2 linked regions of the Oryctolagus cuniculus genome follow. The protein of the gene in region 2 purifies or fractionates together with the protein of the main gene of each other region. This does not show direct contact. Links are inferred from orthologs where the notes say so. Each region holds a gene or a part of one and is shown on either strand. Other genes may lie near its edges.

Region 1 (4,963 bases), on a different chromosome or scaffold from region 2:
GCCTCACGGCTGCCCTCTGGTGGCTCTTCGGGACAACGGCAACACACCACACAAGGGGTTGGGAGCGGGCTCTTTATTAGGTGGCTATTGGGGTCCTACAGGGTGAGCATAGAGCAGCTGTCACCCTGTCAGTCACAGTGGCTATGCGTCTTCAGGAAGGCCTGGAGGCTGGGACAGTGAGCCCACGTCTAGAAGTGGAATTGGAAGGCCTGGGTCACATGCTGCCGCCACTCCTCCAGGCTGGGCAGCAGGGAGGAGATGCCCATGACGTGCCAGGTCTCTCCATCCGACACCATCGAGGTCTGGTAGGACAGCAGCTGCACGCCTGCCTCTGCCAGGAGTCCTGGAAGTGGAAGAAGCCTCAGACTGACCCAGGGCATGAAGGAGGGGGAAGATGGGGGCTGGTAGCAGAGTGAGGCATCTGCAATCAAAGTTGCGATGGGGTGGAGGTGGCAATGGCCTTAGAGTCAAAGAGCTGAGACAAAGGAACAACAGGGCACCTGCCCGCTGCCCCCGCTATTCCAGAGACTCTTCAGAACCACCCAGACCACCGGGCAGGCCAGGGCAGGACAGATCTGGCCACAGAATGGTAGGCTCTGCCGTGCAGACTGACAGATGTATCCAGGCTGGCCCTTCAGAGTCTGGTTGGACACATGCTCTGCAAAACCCAAAGGTGCTCCAAAACCCCCAGCAGCCTAGGTCCCAGGGGCCCGGGGCAGGTCTGGGATGCCGGTGACCACTGGAGGGGATGGCTCTGTAGGACTTGCTGTAGCCAGGCACTTGCTGGCAGGGCCTAACTGTGCTCCACATGGCCAGCTCAGAACACATAGTCAAGGCGGTTACAGCGGCTCTGGTTGCACCTTTCACATTGCCCTGGGGCAAGGCACTTGCTTTTTCTGAATTCGTTACCCACACCGGGATATTCTGGGAACTGCTCTGTAAGGCGCGGACCCGGAGACACCAAAGCATGGAGAGGGACTGAGGAGGCAGAAAGTCCTTGGGACCCAATTCCAGAGCAGACGCCCCCCACCCCCACCCCACTGCCCCTGCCCTAACCAGCTCCCCAGGGCCCTTCTCACCAATCATCGTAGGCAGCAGAGCCGGGTTGGAGGGCTGAGCCCGGAACATGAGCAGGGGCAGGCCCCGGCGGAGAGGCACTTCTGGCCTGAAAACAGCTCCGTTGAGAGCCTGCAGCACAGGTGTGGTGCCCTGGACCGAGCCCACAGCCTGGTAGGGGGCACCTGCCAAGGCCACGGTCAGGACGCATTCCCCACTGCCCTGCTCCCCTGCAGCAGTGTTGCTGTGGGAGGTGGTGACCTGCGGAGAGAAGGCCAGGAGGCCGTGACTCCTCCTGGCTGCATCCCAGCAGCCCTCCCCCTGGGCTCCAGCCTGGCCAACAAGGTCTCCAATTCAGGGCTGAGGCTGGGGGCGGTGTGGAGGGAGGGCAAATGGACTGAGCTGGAAAACAGTCACAGACCTCCCTAAGGGTCAAGGGCAGGCAGAGGCTTGCAGGGGAGGGGTGGGAACCACGCAGAGGAAGGGAGGGAGGGAGATTGGGCTGTGAGGAGGCCTCCACCGCTGAGCTGATGGGCACTTCCTGCTCCCACCTGCTGCTTCCTGCACAGCACCAACGGCCTGCCCCGGATGGAGGGAGGAGGGGCCTGCAGGCGGGGCCGTGGGAACGCTACTGCTTGTTGCTCCTGCCAGCTCCCTCTGACTGAGAAACTCAGTGGGGAAGATGCCAAAGGGAAGCCAGTGAGGCAGCAGAGACCATGCCACCTGGGGATAAAAGGCAGCACGAGCAAAGGCGCTGGGCGCTGTGGAGTATGGGACCTGGGTGGAGAGCCAGGGTGGACAGAGCTGGGCCTTCTCCAAGCCTCTGGTCTGGATCAACCCAGCTCCTGGGTTCCTCAGCTGGGCCACGCAGGCACTGCCACCACGGGCTGCTCACAAGCACTCTCCTGAGGCCCAGGGCACCCAGCAAGGCTCTCCATTTTGCAGCAGAGATGAAAACCACCTCTCACAGGGGCACCCGGTGTGCACCCAGGATGGATGTCAGTGAGGGGCACTCAGCATGTGGGGGCTCTGAACATGTGGGGGCGCCAGCAGCGCTGACAGGGGACACGTGGGGATGCGGACGCACAGCGAGGCCAGCCTCCTTCACCAGCAGCTTGGCGTTCACCAAGTTCACTTCCGCCTGCTTGGAAGCTTCTTTCAGGAGGCCGACTATGACAGCGGGGCTTAGGCAGTTCCCTGCATTCTTCAGGGATGCTCCTGGGGACAGAGAGACGCTGCCATAAGGTCACTTTGTACGGAGTGCCACAGAAGGCGATGCAGTGGGTCAAGGCTGTTGCGTGCAGCACCCGCATCCCACAAAGGAGTGCTGGTTCCAGTCCCAGCTGCTCCACTTCCAATCCAGCTCCTTACTAATGCACTTGAGAAGGGAAAATGGCCTAAAGAATCTGGATCCCTGTCAACCACTTGGGAGACCAGGGTGGAATTCCTGGCTCCTGGCTTTAGCCTGCTCTAGGTCTGGCTGACACAGTCATTTGGGGAGTGACCCAGCAGTTGGAAGCACTCGCTCTCTCCCCTTCTCTCTCTGCTACTGTGCCTTCCAAATAAAGAATCTTTTAAAAATAATCAAAATTAAAAAGGGGCTGGAGGCCACTACTGCTAGCTCCAGGCTTTGGGCTGCAGTGTGCCCTGCGCAGTCCCCCTTCTCCCACAGCGGGCTCAGAGGCAGCCATGGGAGACATCCAGGTTACTTAAGCAACCTAAGAAACTCCTTGGCAAAGCTCAGCCCAGCTCTGCTGCTCCCTACCAATGGCTTGGCTGCTCTGGGCTGCCTGCTGCTCTCCCAGGAGCCACTGAGAAAATGTCCTATCCCATCCTACTTGGCACTCAGCCCCTTGTGGGCCCAGGAAAGGAAAGTGGAAAGCCGCGGTTGCTACACTGCTGCCCTGCCTTGTTCCTTCCTGGAGCTGGGCACCCAGGGGGTGGGGATCCCCAGGCTCTGCCCTTCCCCGGCATTGTCAATGCCTGGCGTTTAACTGCCCACACCCTGCAGTCTCTCCCAGCATGAAGATGCCTAGCAGGCAGTGGGAGAGGACCAGCCTCCCCAGGGTTCAGGGAACTGCAGCCCTCCCTGGTCACCCAAGCACATCTGCATGGTGCTGGCGATGCTGAGGCCACCACAGGCTGCTCAGCAGCCCCGGGGCTGAACACAGGCCCTGCTCTCATCCTCCTCCATGGCCGAGCAGACACCCGAGGACTGCGGACTGCCCCCCTTAGCAAGTCACAGAGCACAAAACATCCCCATCGCTGCACCGGGAGCATCCACCCACTGGCTCTCCCTCGCCATGTAAGGGACCCGAGGCTCAGAAAACGGAAAGACAAACAGTAGGTAAGCAACAAGGTCAAAGCCAGAATTAAGCCCCCTGGTGCTTAATTTGGTTCTCCCTCCACCGAGCCCACCACATCTTGCATGAAACTCTCTTGTAGAGGTTCTCTCTTGCAAACAAAACAAGTATATCTTGCAAATACTACACAGAATGACTTTAGAAAATTCAACACCTCTTCCAAGGAACTCTGCATACTCCTTCCCTGTGTCTCCAGCCTGGCAGTGGGTGAACTGCTCTCAGAGCAAGGCCGGGTCTCCTGTCAGACTCATCCCAGTCTCTTACCAGCTCTGTGCAACACCCCCAGCAAACCTGGCCCATGACCCCTTTCTCAGCCCCTTGCTATGTCCACATGCAGAGGGTGATGCTGAAAACTCCGGGCTCACCCTGTGTCACCACCTGGATGGTCCCTTTGGGGGATCCAGCCCAGGCTCGCATCAGAGTCCCCAGAGCTTCTGCCAGGCCAATCCAAGGCTTGGTGTGTGGAGAGAAAGCGCTGGTCAGGGCCTCGGCATTCACCTGCAGGGAAAGGGGGGGCAGTGCTGTAGTCAGGAAGAGGCAGGCCAGGGGCTCACCTGCCCGACTTAGCAACCACATCAAGGTTGTGTTGCTGAGAGCTGGACAAAAGGGCCTGCCTTGCTTTGGGTGCCTGGTGGGTGGCAACTCCCGCCAGCCAACAAAGAGACAATGACTTGTTCCTGCAGGGGAGCTAGAGAGCCAGAAATGGACACAAAAGGCCAAGAACACTCAAAATGACTAGGGGCGGGGGGCATTTCCTCCATCAAGGAGTATGTCAGCCTTGCCTCTCTATGAAAACTTGGGTTCACCTGTGCTGGGTTAAGGTCTGGAGAGCACAATGCGGGGGGGGGGGGGTCTTTGGCACAAAAAAACACATGGCATCCCATGTGCATCTCCCTTGGATGGCATTCTACACTTGATCTTAGCCAAAAGGCCGGGAAGCGATAGGATAGCATTCTAAGCTTGTCTTCATTTCTCATCTTCTGCCTTGATGGCCCTGAGTGTTTACGTCCCAGTGAAACACCATGAACACATAGCACAATGCATAAAGCCAGATCCATGATCTGGGTGATCACTTCATGCTGTGAGTCCACGGTGAGGCAGGACATGATTTAGGGAGGCTCAGGAGGCCGGCTGGCACAGAGGGTTCATGTTGGCAGGTGTGGGGAGTAGGGTGAGACCCTGACTATGGACGGGACGGAAAGAGTGCTCTGGGAGTTTACTGGGTGCAAGCTCCCTGCAGAGGCCTTGGGAACAGGCCAGCTTGCCGCTCGCCCAGGGCCAGCTGTCACCCTAGCAACACTCCTCCAGCCCCAAGGCACCAGGAGAACAAAGCCGCCTTTCTCTAGTGGCTGGGCCCTGGGAACCGCCAGTGTCTGCAGCAGGGCCACAATGTAGCAGGGATGCCCCAGGGCTGACCATCAAGGCTGGAGACAGAGCCCCCTGCCCCGCCCCCTGCTCCCTGTGACTTTAGCTTCCAGGGCTGCGTCTGTTCACCCTCACTTGGCCTCGCCCCTCTCTGCCCCACACAGCGATACTCACCACCC
Region 2 (4,963 bases):
TGACAACAGCCTCCTAAGACTCTCTGAAGTGGGGTTCCCACCCACTCCCCAACAGGTCACTGCCAAGAGAGGGGCAGCCTGCAGAGCCGGGGGGCTACCCAGCCGCCCGCACGGCCAGGCCCTGTAGCCAGCAGGACGCCTGCTGGGGCCGCCCCCCAGACTCTGGTCGTCAGAGGCCGGCCTTCAAGGGGGAAATCTCAAAAGGACAATTCTCTGTGCCACTTCTAGACGCTTTCTCTGAATACACGATTACTCAAAACAAAGCCGCTCTTCTCTGCCCACTGCAGGTGGGGCAGCGGCTAAGGCGCCACTTAAAACCCAGCTTCCTGCCAGTGCACAGCCTGGGGCGCGGCAGGGATGACTGGAGCTGGCGCTGCCGCCTGGTGGGACCTGGGTGCCGCTCCGGGCCCTGGTTTCAGCCTGGCCCAGCCCCAGCCGCTGCGGGCGTTTGGGGAGTGAACCAACGGGTGTGGGATCTCCATCCACCTGCCTCACACACAAGACAGACAGACGCACGGATGGCTCCGTCCACCGAACGCTTCACCCTCACATCCGGCCCGAAGGCTGCACTGAGGGGGCAGGGGGCTCACCTGTGCTGCTCCCAGAGGTTGGCAGGGCCGTGCGGAGCCGGTCGAAGTCAGAGAACTCATCGAGCTCTGGGTCAAAGCCCCCAGCTGCTGTGGGGGTGGCAGGGGCGGGAGGCTCCACTTAGCACCTGCCCTCCTCCGACCCCCATCTCCTTCCCGCGTCTGTGCCTCAGGACCCGGGACGGCCACTCTCACCCCCACCCCCAGGCCCGGAGCCACCTCGTACCTGCAGTGCCGTTGGTGCTCGGCTTGGCAGGGGAGCCCCCCCAGGGGTCTGAGAAGGCTGGAGCCGGTGCCCAGGGGTCAGAGGCCGGGGGTCCACTGAGCGAGGCCCCTCCTGGGTGACCACGGAGGCACAGCAGGGCTAGCACCCTCGCCTGCCACTCAGACCCAAGACCTCCCGAGGCCCACCTCCAGGTGCTCGTCTTCTCCCCAGGAGCCTTCCCCAGCCCCGGGCTCTCACACACAAGGCCCCGCTGCTGCACCTCTCCCCGCCCCTCACCCAGCAGGGCGCCTAGCCCGCTGGGCTCCACCGCCCCTCACCAGGTCCCGCTGCTGCACCTCTCCCCGCCCCTCACCCAGCAGGGCCCCTGGCCCGCTGTGCTCCACCGCCCCTCACAAGGCTCTGGCTTGACCTCTCCGCCCCACGGCTGAGCAGTGTCTCCCTACAGGTCCCCATCCCATGCCCTCTCCTGAGCCCCACCCCAGGGCACCCAGGGCACCACCCCCCGCCTGGCACACGGGCGTCGGGAACTCACCATCAGAGCTTCCCCACGGGTCAGGTGTGGGCCCCTCTCCAGCTGCGGGGGCCGAGCTCCCTCCCCAAGGGTCCACAGAGGGCCCTGCGGGGGCAGCAGGCCTCCAGGGGTCCCCAGCAGCCGGCGTGGGGGCTGGGCCGCCCCAGGGATCAGCAGCTGGAGGGACAGCGGGTCCCCCCCACGGGTCCGAGGCGGGGGCAGCCGTGGGCATGGCGGTAGCCATGGGTGCTGGGCCCCCCCAGGGGTCAGAGGCCGGTGGAGGCGCTGGGGCTGTGAAGACGTCAGCGAGATCCATGAGGGACGACTACAGCAGGAGACAGAGGGGAGCGTGAGGGCACGGGAGAGAGACGCCCCCAAGTCCCAGCCAGCCCTGGCTGGAGCCGGGGCAGGATGACGGAGAGGGCCCGAGCCAGCCCTGCAGACACCTGCGCGGCCCCCACCTTAAGCATCCCCCATCTGCTCACCTCTGCCCCCCCAAGGAACTAGGTGGTCCCCCCAACCCATGGAACTGGATGCCTCCTTCCATCCACCTCCCTACTGCCCACTCGGCACACACACACAGGACAGGCCGTGCACACACACACACACACACACACACACGCCCCAGCTCTGCAGTGCACACACACACACACAGACGCCCCAGCTCTGCAGTGCACACACACACAGACGCCCCAGCTCTGCACACACACACACACGCCCCAGCTCTGCAGTGCACAGACACACAGACGCCCCAGCTCTGCAGTGCACACACACACAGACACACAGATGCCCCAGCTCTGCAGTGCACACACACATGCCCCAGCTCTGCAGTGCACACACACACAGGACAGGCCGTGCACACACACACACACACACACACACACCCCAGCTCTGCAGTGCACACACACACACCCCAGCTCTGCGCACACACACACACGCCCCAGCTCTGCACACACACACACACACACACCCCAGCTCTGCAGTGCACACACACAGACGCCCCAGCTCTGCAGTGCACACACACACACACGCCCCAGCTCTGCAGTGCACACACACACAGACGCCCCAGCTCTGCAGTGCACACACACACACACAGATGCCCCAGCTCTGCAGTGCACACACACACAGACGCCCCAGCTCTGCAGTGCACACACACACACACAGATGCCCCAGCTCTGCAGTGCACACACACACACACAGATGCCCCAGCTCTGCAGTGCACACACACACAGACGCCCCAGCTCTGCAGTGCGCACACACACACACACGCCCCAGCTCTGCAGTGCACACACACACAGACGCCCCAGCTCTGCAGTGCACACACACACAGACGCCCCAGCTCTGCACACACACACACACAGACACCCCAGCTCTGCAGTACACACACATACAAATGCCCCAGCTCTGCGCACACACACACACAGACACACCCCAGCTCTGCAGTGCACACACACACAGACGCCCCAGCTCTGCAGTGCACACACACACACGCCCCAGCTCTGCAGTGCACACACACACAGACACACAGACGCCCCAGCTCTGCAGTGCACACACACACAGACACACAGACGCCCCAGCTCTGCAGTGCGCACACACACACACACACACCAGCTCTGCAGTGCACACACACACAGACGCCCCAGCTCTGCAGTGCACACACACACACACGCCCCAGCTCTGCAGTGCACACACACACAGACACACAGACGCCCCAGCTCTGCAGTGCGCACACACACACACACACACCAGCTCTGCAGTGCACACACAGACGCCCCAGCTCTGCAGTGCACACACACACACACGCCCCAGCTCTGCAGTGCACACACACACAGACACACAGACGCCCCAGCTCTGCAGTGCACACACACACACACGCCCCAGCTCTGCAGTGCACACACACACAGACACCCCAGCTCTGCACACACACACACCCCAGCTCTGCACACACACACACACAGACACCCCAGCTCTGCAGTACACACACATACAAATGCCCCAGCTCTGCACACACACACACACAGACACACCCCAGCTCTGCAGTACACACACACACACACACCAGCTCTGCAGTGCACACACACCCCAGCTCTGCAGTGCACACACAGACACCCCAGCTCTGCAGTACACACACACACACACACACACGTGCGCCCCAGCTCTGCAGTGCACACAGGACAGGACATGTACACACACACACACTCACTCAAGCAGCACCCAAGTTCTGGGGGTGAGCACAGGACTGGGCCCAGCTGACCAGAGTCCCTTTCCCCTGGAGTGGAATTCCCCCCAACACCCACACCCACAAAGGGCCCCAAGAGGAGAGAGGAACTGAGTCTTGTCCCAGGGCACCCAATGGAGGCAGGCAAGGTGGGCACCACCATCTCACTCCCCACCGTTCTGCCCTGGTCCGAGAACCTTCCGGCTAACACCGGCCTAGGCAGGCCTTTCCACCTGTCAAAAGAGCCACAGGGGGTCCCATGGCCCATGACAATCTACCCACTGCCCATTCCGGGGAGGGAGCCCCACCCCCACCCCTCCAAGTAGGGGCCGTTCCCACAACCTGCTCTGAACAGCAGCAGGTAGCAAGGCCAGGCCAGCTCCCAGCCTTTCCCACAGGGCGGCACTGGCACCCACTGGGTCAGCACAGAGATGAGACGGGGAAGGCGCTGGGGGGTGTCCACTGGGTCAGCACAGAGATGAGATGGGGAAGGTGAGGGGGTGGCCCACACAGGGCAGCGCTGGCGCCCACTGGGTCAGCACAGAGATGAGACGGGGAAGGTGGGGGGGTGTCCACTGGGTCAGCACAGAGATGAGACAGGGAAGGTGGGGAGTGTCCACTGGGTCAGCACAGAGAGGAGACGGGGAAGGCGCTGGGGGGTGTCCACTGGGTCAGCACAGAGAGGAGACGGGGAAGGTGGGGGGTGTCCACTGGGTCAGCACAGAGATGAGACGGGGAAGGCGCTGGGGGGTGTCCACTGGGTCAGCACAGAGATGAGACGGGGAAGGCGCTGGGGGGTGTCCACTGGGTCGGCACAGAGATGAGACGGGGAAGAGCTGGGGGGTGTCCACTGGGTCAGCACAGAGATGAGATGGGGAAGGTGAGGGGGTAGCCCACACAGGGCAGCGCTGGCGCCCACTGGGTCAGCACAGAGATGAGACGGGGAAGGTGGGGGGGTGTCCACTGGGTCAGCACAGAGATGAGACAGGGAAGGTGGGGGGTGTCCACTGGGTCAGCACAGAGATTAGACGGGGAAGGCGCTGGGGGGTGTCCACTGGGTCGGCACAGAGATGAGACGGGGAAGGCGCTGGGGGGTGTCCACTGGGTCAGCACAGAGATGAGACAGGGAAGGCGCTGGGGGGTGTCCACTGGGTCAGCAGAGATGAGACGGGGAAGGTGGGGGGTGGCCCACATAGGGCAGCGCTGGCGCCCACTGAGTTGGCACAGAGTGGAGACGGGGAAAGCAGTGGGGAGTGTCCACTGGGTCAGCACAGAGATGGGGAAGGCGCTGGGGGGTGTCCACTGGGTCAGCACAGAGATGAGACAGGGAAGGCAGTAGGGGGGTGTCCACTGGGTCGGCACAGAGATGAGATGGGGAAGGCGCTGGGGGATGTCCACTGGGTCAGCACAGAGATGAGACA

The links. Proteins that work in one complex are often made in the same cells at the same time.
Region 1: the proteins of EPN1 (region 2) and PHGDH purify together in Homo sapiens (affinity purification with mass spectrometry; 3 studies listed by BioGRID and IntAct, with this or other methods). This does not show direct contact. The link is inferred for Oryctolagus cuniculus from reciprocal best matches to the Homo sapiens genes EPN1 and PHGDH.

The regions. Positions count from the first base shown.
Region 1 is NC_091438.1:50,856,279-50,861,241, forward strand, and holds the end of PHGDH (D-3-phosphoglycerate dehydrogenase), read right to left. Parts: coding exon 4,959-4,963; intron 3,918-4,958; coding exon 3,785-3,917; intron 2,275-3,784; coding exon 2,144-2,274; intron 1,318-2,143; coding exon 1,080-1,317; intron 344-1,079; coding exon 189-343; 3' UTR 59-188; downstream 1-58. UniProt on the Homo sapiens protein: Catalyzes the reversible oxidation of 3-phospho-D-glycerate to 3-phosphonooxypyruvate, the first step of the phosphorylated L-serine biosynthesis pathway.
Region 2 is NC_091449.1:3,309,702-3,314,664, forward strand, and holds part of EPN1 (epsin-1), read right to left. Parts: intron 1,650-4,963; coding exon 1,346-1,649; intron 925-1,345; coding exon 814-924; intron 678-813; coding exon 591-677; intron 1-590. UniProt on the Homo sapiens protein: Binds to membranes enriched in phosphatidylinositol 4,5-bisphosphate (PtdIns(4,5)P2). Modifies membrane curvature and facilitates the formation of clathrin-coated invaginations. Regulates receptor-mediated endocytosis.